3 linked regions of the Rattus norvegicus genome follow. The protein of the gene in region 1 interacts with the protein of each later gene in a pairwise test. Links are inferred from orthologs where the notes say so. Each region holds a gene or a part of one and is shown on either strand. Other genes may lie near its edges.

What was found.
Region 2: the proteins of Zbtb9 (region 1) and Tsr2 interact in binary tests that used the Homo sapiens proteins (3 or more experiments, as listed by UniProt). The two-hybrid records come from large-scale screens. The link is inferred for Rattus norvegicus from reciprocal best matches to the Homo sapiens genes ZBTB9 and TSR2.
Region 3: the proteins of Zbtb9 (region 1) and Lasp1 interact in binary tests that used the Homo sapiens proteins (3 or more experiments, as listed by UniProt). The two-hybrid records come from large-scale screens. The link is inferred for Rattus norvegicus from reciprocal best matches to the Homo sapiens genes ZBTB9 and LASP1.

What each region holds. Positions count from the first base shown.
Region 1 is NC_086038.1:5,057,964-5,062,150, reverse strand, and holds the start of Zbtb9 (zinc finger and BTB domain-containing protein 9), read right to left. Parts: upstream 2,836-4,187; 5' UTR 2,700-2,835; exon of another isoform or gene 2,599-2,699; intron 2,456-2,598; 5' UTR 2,417-2,455; coding exon 1,019-2,416; 3' UTR 1-1,018. UniProt on the Homo sapiens protein: May be involved in transcriptional regulation.
Region 2 is NC_086039.1:23,509,637-23,512,713, reverse strand, and holds part of Tsr2 (pre-rRNA-processing protein TSR2 homolog), read left to right. Parts: intron 1-895; coding exon 896-987; intron 988-1,843; coding exon 1,844-2,020; intron 2,021-2,212; coding exon 2,213-2,347; 3' UTR 2,348-3,077. UniProt on the Homo sapiens protein: May be involved in 20S pre-rRNA processing.
Region 3 is NC_086028.1:83,325,964-83,329,531, forward strand, and holds part of Lasp1 (LIM and SH3 domain protein 1), read left to right. Parts: intron 1-293; coding exon 294-450; intron 451-777; coding exon 778-881; intron 882-3,328; coding exon 3,329-3,502; 3' UTR 3,503-3,568. UniProt on the Homo sapiens protein: Plays an important role in the regulation of dynamic actin-based, cytoskeletal activities.

The sequences.
Region 1 (4,187 bases):
TCAACCCTGAGATCCTCTAAGTGGGGGAAATGCCACCCTGGGAGCGCTGTAGGCCAGCTGCCACCTCTTGAGTTCCTGGGTCACATCTGTCATTGTGATTAGTGGTAGTGAAAGACAAGGTGAAGGCCTCTGAGGGAGGACCCTCTGCGATGGGCTTTCAGAGTAACCTGTGAAATGCTCAGTTTGCTAAAGTGCTCGAGTACTATTTATCCCCCTCAAGATAGGGTCTCGCCGAGCGCAGCCCTGGCTGGCCTTGAACTTGAAGAGATCCACCTGCCTCTGCCTCCCATGTGCTGTGATTAAATGTGTGCAGGACACTTGCTTCATGTTCAAGTACTTTTTTTTTTTAATGTATGAATGCTCTGTCTGCATGTACGCCTGCAGGCCAGAAGAGGGCGTCAGATCCCATTACAGATGGTTGTGAGCCACCATGCGGCTACTGGGATTTGAACTCAGGACCTCTGGAAGAGCAGTCAGTGCCCGAGCCACCTCTCCAGTCATTTTTAAAAGGATATTTGGGAAAGGTGTCTCCTGGTGAGAAAAGAAAAGTACAACTTTAAAAAGCTTCTGGAAAGAAATGACAGAAAGTACAGAGTCGGGATACCGTTGACAGTGAGGCAGAGGCCGCTCAGAGCTGAGTCTGACAATTACTTGAGCTCTGAATCAAATGTTTTCCTAGTTGGAGACCAGCTCCCTCACCTCCTCATGAAGATGAGGATAGAGTTACTGGGTCATTTTGCTCCATCTCTTCTCTTGCTAATATAACCTGAGGTCAGCAGTTCCTTCACTGGCTATCAATACAAAAAGGGCCATTCCGGTTGAGTGATCAGAAGCATGACCTTCCTACAGGACTTCCAAATATACCAGGGTGAGGCCCATCCCCAAGAGTAAGGGGTTCACAACATGACATATATAATCTCTTGGAAGGACCACACGATCCAGGACTGAGGTGGTGGAAGGTAAGTCCGTCAGCAGCAGTGGCTATCTTGTCCTAGAAATCACTACAGAGCATCGGTAGTCATTTGTAAGTCCAGTGGTAAGTGGGCCAGCCCTGGCCCTTGCATAAGTCCCGGTGTCGAAGGAAGAAAGCCTGGACCCGGAACCGGCGGCCACAATGGGGACACGCGTGCAGAGCTCTGGCGTGGGTCTTCATGTGCTCTGTCAGATGATGCTTCAGCTTGAAGCGTTTATTACAGATGCCGCAGCCGAAGGGACGAAGGCTGAAGGTCAACATGATGTGTCGGTCTCGTTTCGGCTTGACTGCAAACCGTTTTCCACACAAGCAAGCAAAGCACTTTCCATCTGCAGGGGGTGTCCCTCCTAGCTTCACAGGCCCGTGCATAGCCTGCCCTGTTCCTCCGGGTCCTCCGCCCCCTGACAAGATTTCATTCCCATGGAGATCCACTGGTTTCCAGGATGGGTCTCCTGCCCCAGACGTCTCCCCTCCTCCTGAGGACAGCAAGTATCTTAGCTCCCCATTTTCCTCAGAGTTCTCTCCAGGCAGTACTTTGGTCTTTTCCTTTGCTCCTCCAGACAGAGTCCTGCCTCCTGATGTCTCCTCCTTACACTCGACGTTTTCCTGGTTAACGTATAAGATTTGGGAAGTTTGTACGGGAGGGGCAGGAGGATCAAGTGTTGAGTTCTCATCCTCTGAAGGTTTGCTGGGAAGAGTCGATGTAGGCAACGGGTGGGATCCGCAAGCCTGGGAAACCGCTCCTGACACTCTCTCAGGCTGAGGGGTCTGAAAGGGTGGGGCTGCTGACCTCTGCTCCTCTTCCTCCTCTACTTTGACCTGAATCTGTAACATTCCTTCTAGTTCACCCCCCTCCCCTCCACTGGGGCTCTCAGGGGCAGCAGAATTCTCTGTGGAAGCGGAGGACCGCCCTGGGTTCTGGAAAGGGGAAGAGCGAATGCACCAGCCTCCTGCAGATGTTGTGGAAAGAAGTGTGAGGCTGGAGGCTCCTCCACCAGATGAAATTCCACTGGACGTTTCTAGCTCTCGAAGAATCTCTGAGCACCGATCTACTACCTGCCACATCTGAAGGCCACTGGCCACGAGGAGATGGGCAGGAAGAGCATCCAATGGCAGGTGGAGGCTTCCTGAATAGATGAGCTGAAGCAGTCCCTCGAACGCATCTGCCTCGATGACATTCGGTAAAGTGAGTCGGGGCGCATCCCCCAATAGCAGCTTGTCATGGAAGTAAGGAGAGGCAGCAGCCAACACTGCTTTGTGAGCCCTCAGTTCCCTGCCCTGAACCAGGAGGGATACATCACAGAACTTTCCCTCCAGCCTATGGCGGTTCAGGGATTCCAGCAGCGAAGAGCTATGATGAGGGAAATCAATGTGGATTGTCTGTGGGGCTGGGTTACACCTCGGAGAAGAGGGTGCGGGAGGCAAAGGAGTCGAAGCATCCATGGCTACCTCGGAGGGAGAAATAAAACCCGTGGATGAAGACTGCAGAGGAAAGAGACTAGGGTCACACAAGTTCGGGGTATGAGACCTGCCTCAAGCCGCTCCCCACCGACACTTGAAAACTCTTCAGTGACAAGTTTCTGTGTATTAGTTCCGCCCACCAAGAAACCCAGCAAAACACTAACCAGGGTTTTCACTTCCAGGCCCAGCGGAAGCCAAGTAGGGAAGGGATGGCGCCCCGCCTCGCTGGCTCAGTCGCCCTCCGCCGCCGCTCGCCCCTCCTCACCTTGCTCGGACAGGCCGGCTCCGCGAGCTCCGGCCCCACGACTTCCCACCGACACGCCCCCACCGCACGCACGACCGCGTCGGAGCTCCTCGCATCCACTGCGCCTGGCCGGCCGGAAGCTGCCGCAGTTCCGCCGGACGCCACTGCAGCCAGGCGCGGAGGGCCGGACCTGGTTTGCAGCCAATGGGAGAGCGGCGGCCTACAAGACCTCTCCTCATTGGCTGGTCAGTCGGAGGGGCGGGGCTTTGGGCGGGCGGGCTGCTGGAGCGGCGGCGAATGTTTTCCGGGATGAGCGGCCGATGAGGAGGGTGGTTCTGCGGGTTCTGGGGTGAGGGGAGTGACTGGCTCCGCAGCGCGGTGTGTGTATCCCCCCGACTCTTGCCGCGCGAGGTAGGAGATGCGGCTGTCCTCCGCGTGCACGTGGGGCAGCCAGGTCAGAAGTCTGGAGCGCACACATGCTGAGCACCCCGGGTTCTTTCCTCCATTTCGCAGACAAGCGTCCTCACAATTAAACCCTATGTCGAGAGGGTTTTGCACTTGGAGTCTTTCGGGCGTTAAAAGCCGGTTCCCAGCCTCAGCGCCTTTGGGTCGAGTGTCCGGCGGGTAGAGAACGGGGGTAGGAGTTTCACCAGAAAGGCCCTGCCGTATATAGTTTTCCTGACTCGAGCAGTGTGTAGTGGAAGAAGACATGATTTTGTTTTACTTTTTCTCCCCCAAAGTAGTCCCTGTCAGCCTTCAGGTGGTTCTGGAGACCCCAGGCTAAAAAATCAGCCCCCCCCCCCGCGACAGACGCTTTTTTAGTCCCAGGAGGCAGAGGCAGGCGGATCTTGCTAGTTCAAGGCCACCCTGGTCTACAGAGTGAGTTCCAAGACAGCCCAGAACCACACAGAGACCCTGTCTTGAAAAACCAAAAATAAAAGTCAGCCCAGCGATAAAAGAACAATCTCCGTTTATTAAACATGATTTTTCTGTTTCACCACACACTCCAGAAAAAAAAAGGGAAATGGACCCGGGAGTGGGAGAAAAGAGGGGGTGTGGGGGGATGGGGGTGGGGACCAAGAGTCTGGGAGCAGGAGCAGAAAGGAGAACGAGTAAACAAACAGCAAAAAAAATGAGTAAGAAGATCTTCTCCCTACTCTTAAGGTGGTGGGTGGGGAAGGAAATGAGGGGTGGGGCTAGGGAGCCAGGAAGCTCTGTACAGAGGGGTCGCCTCCCAGCCCCCCACCCCAATTATGTACAGTACAAACCCCAGATAATTACAACAGCCAAAGAGGAGGGAGGAGGTCCAAGGGTAAGGCCTGATGTAGGGAAGCAGAGGAGAGGGAATGGGATAAAATTTCACATATTTACAACTTTTATATAAGTATAAATTTGGCCCCGGCTGGGTGGGTGTATGTAGAGGGGTAAGTTTGAAGGAGAGCTGTTCATACAAAAGAAAGGTCGAGTCTGGAGTCTGGGAAGAATTCTCAATACCAAACGCAAGAAGGG
Region 2 (3,077 bases), on another chromosome or scaffold:
AGGGGGAGTTGGAAAAGAAAGATTTATGATGAATGGCAGGGTAGATTAGAAGCCTCTCATTGGATAGAGGAACCCTGGAGGATGAGATGCTGGTTTGGAAGACAGGATAATAAACCTGGCTTTGGATATGGGGATTTGAAGCACCTGTCTAACATCTGAGTAGATCAATTAGTCTGAGTAGAAGAGAAATTTTGAGGCTGTAAGATTTGAAGGGCAGGTAAAAGTAGAAATGTGGAAGAGTTATGTCTGGGACAAGGCATATAAGGTAAAGAAAGCTAGTTTTTCATTTAGGAAAGAAAGACCATGGACCCGTAAGATAACTGAGGTACAGAGTCTGAAGGCAGTATTGGGGTTATGATTTCATTTTTGGAAGTAGTGCATCCAGCTGAGGGTGTAGTTCAGTGGTAGTTTGCCCAGCATGTGCTTGACCCTGGGGCTGATCCCCAGCACCAAAAAGCAATGAAGTCCCATGTCCATTTCTTCTTACTCATTGCCCTTGAGTCTCTGGACTCCTTTTTTAGTGGAGCCACAGTTGTGAAGGGTCTCAACATTTCAGCACTTCAGCTGTGAAGTGATGCAAATTAATAGTAGGAATCTCATCTCCCTTGTGCCAAGCATTGTGGCCAACAAGTCCCCCCCCCCCAATAGACCCTCCTGGAGGTTCTATTAGCCTTTCTTTACAAATGAGAAAATTGGAGGCTCTGAGAGAACCAGCTTGCTCAAGATTGCCTTGAACTGAGGTCAGGTAGAATAAACAAGTAAAAGAGGGTGTTTTAGTGAATAAAGGGTCACTGGATCTTTACCTACCAACCAGATATAGCAGGCAGGTATTTAAGAATGGTCAGGGCTGATGAAGTTGGTCTTTGGTTAAAGGGTTCTGTCCTTTCCTATTTAGCTGACTTGGAGCTGGAAGAGATAGAAGATTTTCTTGGGGAGCTGATGACCACTGAGTTTGATACCGTTGTGGAAGATGGGAGTCTGCCCCAGGTGAGCTTATGGAGACAGCTGCTAGCCCCCTGCCTGCTCTTTCTCCCTATTTCCTGTTAGGGACAAGGTTCTTGGTCGTCATTCTTTTCTTGAGGTGTAGACAACATTCCCTATAGCCTTTTCAAACATTACCTTTATTTCTCTCCTTATATAATTTTCAACCATGTATTTTCCCCACACCCCACCAGCTGGGTTGGATCAAATTCCATCCCTATTCTAATAAACACTGCTCATCCTAGTGAGATGTCTTTCATTTTGCATCTTTAGTCCCTTTTTTCCTTTTTTTTTTTTTTGACAGTGTTTTACTCTCTAGCATGGGTAGCCTAAACTGTACTGTGTAGCCCAGTCAACCTCAAATTCATAGCAGTCAGCATGCTTCAGTCTCCCAAGTAGTGGGATTACAGCCGTGTACCACTTAGTCAATTCTAGTACCTTCCCTTCTAGGAGGCCCTCATTGAAGGCTTCACACCCTCACCCAAGCCCTTCAGTTGTTGTTGCTTCATTGAACTTTGTTGGGTTTTTTTTGAGACAGGATCTTACTATGTAATCCTGGCTGTCCTAGAACTTGCCATGTAGACCAGGCTGGCCTTGATCTCAGAGATCTGCTTGCCTCTGCCTACTGAGTGCTAGGATACAGATGTGTTTTATTGACAGTGTGTTACTGTGAAGCCAGGCTGATCTCAATCTCAAAATTCTCCTGCCTCAGAGGTCTCTCATTTATATGCATCCACCACTGTGCCTCTTCTTAGGGAGAAAAGAGCCCTGAAAATTCAAACCCTCCCCCTCTACTCTGCTCTAAACAGGCTGGCTTTATAGTAGATTGATAAATCTAAGTTTTGGGGTATTTTCTTGATAGGTGAGCCAGCAACTACAGACCATGTTCCACCACTTCCAGAAGGGTGATGGGGCTGCTCTTCAGGAGATGACCTCTCATATCAACCAAAAAAAGTGCAAAGTCACAGCTACCCCACTTAAGACGGCCAAAGAAACTGATGTGGCAGAAGATGATGTGGACAGCGTGGAAGAAATGGAGGTGAAAGAAGTCCTGTACTTGGGGCGGGGGTTATCCCCAAATGTTTTCTGGAAGAGTGCCTAGATTCACAGGGAAGTGGTGGCAGTTTGAGGGAGTGGTGTTATTTCCAAGGATAGCTCACATAGTCATGGAAAACTTGGGAGTAGAGCCTGGGTAATGTACTTAGTTATTTTTCTTTCATTTTCCTTCCAGGTGACAGCTACTAATGATGGGGCCACAACGGATGGGGTCTGCCCCCAGTCTCAACCTTCTGATCCAGACTCCCAGACTATTAAGGAAGAGGATATAGTTGAAGATGGCTGGACCATTGTCCGGAGAAAGAAATGAGCAGGGCAGTACATGTTTGGGGCCCTTGTTTGTTGGGTGTTATGAGAGACTTATAGGAGCTGTTTTTGGGGGAACTATACACCTCTGTTCTGGAAACCGTATCCCTTCTTTGTTCCCATCCTTCCCTTCAGGGGAAGAAAAGCCCTAAAGTCCTTGGTTGTGGGGTTGATGAGACCTATTCCAGCCCCTTGAATCTTAAGGTACCATATGAGAGATGAGACCAGGTTTCCCAGCATAGTGCCTCCTAGGTGCAGTGAATTGGAAGATGGGTGATAGGTGTGGATGTGGTTATAGAAGCCAGGCTTGTGGAAAGTAGGCAGGTACATTTATGGAAAGGACCGGAATTCCACAGTGGGAGGCTGGCTGGCTTGGCAATTGTGAGAAAAGCATACAGCTGGAAGAGAGATGTAGAAGTCTACATTCCCCAATGTCCCCACCCTAGCCTCCCACAGAGCATTCCCCAACCGACCAGAATTTTCATCCTCCTGGGAATTCTCCCCCTTGAATACCCTTGAGAGTTTGAAGGACTTAACTAAAAGTGGTGAACTTGGGAAAGTTGGGCTGTTTTAAGTCCAGGGATGAGGCTTAAGATCTTAATAACATAACACTTTCTTGTTTAATTCATGATTTAACCTTGGAATCAGCTTTCTGAGAGCTGAGCTTCAAAATTCATCAAGAGAGTAGTTTCTGCACCCTCCCCTCTCCCTTAGTAGCCTGGGACTTCGGACAA
Region 3 (3,568 bases), on another chromosome or scaffold:
CAGCCTGGTGTACATAGTGAGACCTCGTCTCCAAGGGGAGGCTGCAAAGAAGGTTTACCTAGCTTGTCGTGGTTAAATCACTTAGAGAGCTGGTACGGTCTTTCTGTAGCTCTCCTGGAGTCCGTGTGTGTGTGTGTGTGTGTGTGTGTGTGTGTGTGTGTGTGTGTGTGTGTGTGTGGCCTTGCTCCGCCCCGCTGCCTCAGGAGCTAGCACAAGGGGCACTTACTGCCATGCCCAGCGTGAGTGGCCGTGGGAGAGGACTGATTGGCTCACCCATCCCTTCTGCCCTACAGATCAAATACCATGAGGAGTTTGAGAAGAGCCGCATGGGGCCCAGCGGAGGTGAAGGCATAGAGCCAGAGCGCCGAGAAGCCCAGGACAGCAGCAGCTACCGGAGGCCCACGGAGCAGCAACAGCCACAGCCCCACCATATCCCGACCAGTGCCCCAGGTGAGTGTAGGGAGGGGAGGAGGGGGCCTGAGGTCAAGAGAGTGGGGGCGGCTACATATACAGGCATCTATGCATATAGGTCTGCTCCCTAAAAATCTCATCTCCACCCCCGCCAAGGAGCAGGAGATCTGGAGTAGCAGATCCTGCTGTAAGGAGCAGACAGCCGTGCCTAAGACACTAATGAATGCGCATGCCTAGCCTTTGCTTTGGGGGGAGCAGTGCTGAGCAAGGCCCAAGTGGGGTTAGAAATTCATACCTTTGACCTCATAGGGGCTGGGGGAATGAATTTGGCAAAACACTTTCCGAGCCATCTCTTCTGTCTTCCAGTTTACCAGCAGCCCCAACAGCAGCAGGTGACCCCGTCCTATGGTGGGTACAAGGAGCCAGCAGCCCCTGTCTCCATACAGCGCAGTGCCCCAGGTGGCGGCGGGGTGAGTAATTGTCTGGAATAGAGAAGCCCCGGGGTGAAAGGGTGAAAGAGGTCACAGCTGCACGCACCTGTGTACGGGCGCACGCACGCACGCACGCACACACACATACATACACATGCAGGCGTGCACACACACATGCACACACGAGAGCTCACACATACATGCACACAGTGCACATATGCACACACACATGCATGAGTGATAAAGGTGAAATGTAGAGTTCTCACCTAATATACACAGGATCTTGGGTTCTTCTGACCCCCAGGGCCATGTCCCTTTCCCCAGAAAAGGATTATACTAACTTGTGTCTCTGTGTGAGCAGGAAGTAGCCTTGTGCTACTGTCTTGAGCCAGGCTTAGAGTAGGACGAGCCAGAGCCAGAGCCAGAGCCAGGCCTGGGGTGGGACTCACCAGTTTTGGGAAAATGAGCATCACTAAGCTGGGTGGCCCTGGGTGTGAAGCTCTGGCCTGGGTGTTCCGGGGTACCTCCCGCCAGGGTGCACTAGGCTGATTTCCACGCTGGGATTCAAAGCAACTCGTGTCAGAGTAGAAGAGAAATAAGGTGGCCTGGGATAAGTGACCTTTCTTTAGGGTGGAGGCAACAGGAGGCTGTGTGAAGGGTAAGGCAGCAAATGGCCTGCCCTATGCAGGGTAAGGGACAGAGCAGCAGAGTCAAATGGTACAAGGGGGACAGCAGGTACAAAGACCTTATAACAGAACATCCTTGGAATGTTCAGTGTCTTATGGGAAGGTCCAGGTTCCTGGAGACAGGAAGAAGTAGATGAGGTCAAGCCCTTTGGGTACCTGTAAGCCCATGGGAAGGAAGGCCTTTGAGACTAGTAATCTATACTGCACTACACTGCACGGCACTGCATGGCACTGCACTACACTGCATTGCACTGCACTGCACTACATACACTACACTATACGATACTACACTACACTGTACTACACTGCAGTGCACTGCACTATACTGCACTTCACTGCACCACACTATACTGTACTGCACTGCACTAAATTGTCCCGCATTATACTGCACTTCACTGCACTACACTGCACTGCACTACACCGCACTGCACTACACCACACTGAACTACACCGCACTGCACTACACTGCACTGCACTACACCGCACTGCACTTCACTGCACTACACTGCACTGCACTACACTACACTGAACTACACCGCACTGCACTGCACTACACTACACTGCACTACACTACACTGCACTGAACTACACTGCACTGAACTACACTGCACTGAACTACACCGCACTGAACTACACTGCACTGAACTACACCACACTGCACTACACTACACTGAACTACACCACACTGCACTACACTACACTGAACTACACCACACTGCACTACACGGCACTGCATTACACTGCACCACACTGCACTACACGGCACTGCATTACACTGCACTACACGGCACTACACGGCACTACACGGCACTGCATTACACTGCACTACACTGCACTTTTGCTTTATGAAAATCACCCTGGCAGTTGGGTACAGGTGTAACCTCAGCACTTGGGAAGGTGTGGCAGACGATTCACTGGGAGTTCAAGGCTAACCTGGTTACATAGCTTAGACCTTGTCTTGAACATTTTTCTCCTTTTTTTTTAAAAAAGGAGAAGTTCACCTTTGTGCCCATGTAGGGTAAATAGGAGGATAGCAGACTGAGGGGATGGGGTGTGTTGGGCGTTCGTGTAGAGGATAGCCAGAGACCGCAATGGCCATCTGGTTGGACATAAAAGGTAGTCAATGTACGGACCAGGATCTGAAAAGTGATTAGGCTATCTATACCTCTTTTTTGTTTTGTGGTGTTGAGAATTAAACCCAAGACCTAAGGATACAAGCTATGTAGCCCAGGTTGGCCTTGAACTGAGGATCTTGTCTTGTTTTAAATCTCAGTCTCTTGAGTGCTGAGATTCAAAATCCCATCTTATCATGCCCAGAATGGTATATTGCACTTTTTCTTAGGAATTTATTACTTTTTCTTTTGTGCATTGGTGTTTCACCTACTTGTGTGTATGTGAGTGTGTTGGGGCCCCTGGAACTGGAATTACAGTCATGAGCTGCCAGGTGGGTGCTGGGAATTGAACTCGGGTCCTCTGGAAGAAAAGTCAGTGCTCTCAACTGCTGAACTATCTCCTCAGTCCCTGTATATGTCACATTTAAAAGCCAATAGATTTGTGTCAAGTCTATAGGACTTTACTGTTGCTATGTGGAAACAGGTACAAGAGACTCCACCACAGAACCTACCCCAGGCTCCATCTTCTGGTTTATTGTTTCTTTCCCTCAAGGTCCCTGAGAGGTAGAGAGAAACACGGGGCTGGGAGTGACTTGGTGGAGCACTTGTCCAGCACAGGAGAAGGTCTGGGTGTGTGTGGGAGAGCCTACATCAAATACCCAGGCTAACCATTGGCTGTGCTCCCCAGAAACGGTACCGTGCAGTGTATGACTACAGCGCTGCCGATGAGGACGAGGTCTCCTTCCAGGATGGGGACACCATCGTCAATGTGCAGCAGATCGATGATGGCTGGATGTATGGGACCGTAGAGCGCACCGGTGACACGGGGATGCTGCCAGCCAACTATGTTGAGGCCATCTGAGCCCCGTGCTGCCCCACCCTGTCTTCAATGCATTCCATGGCATCACATCTGTCCTGGGGCCTGACC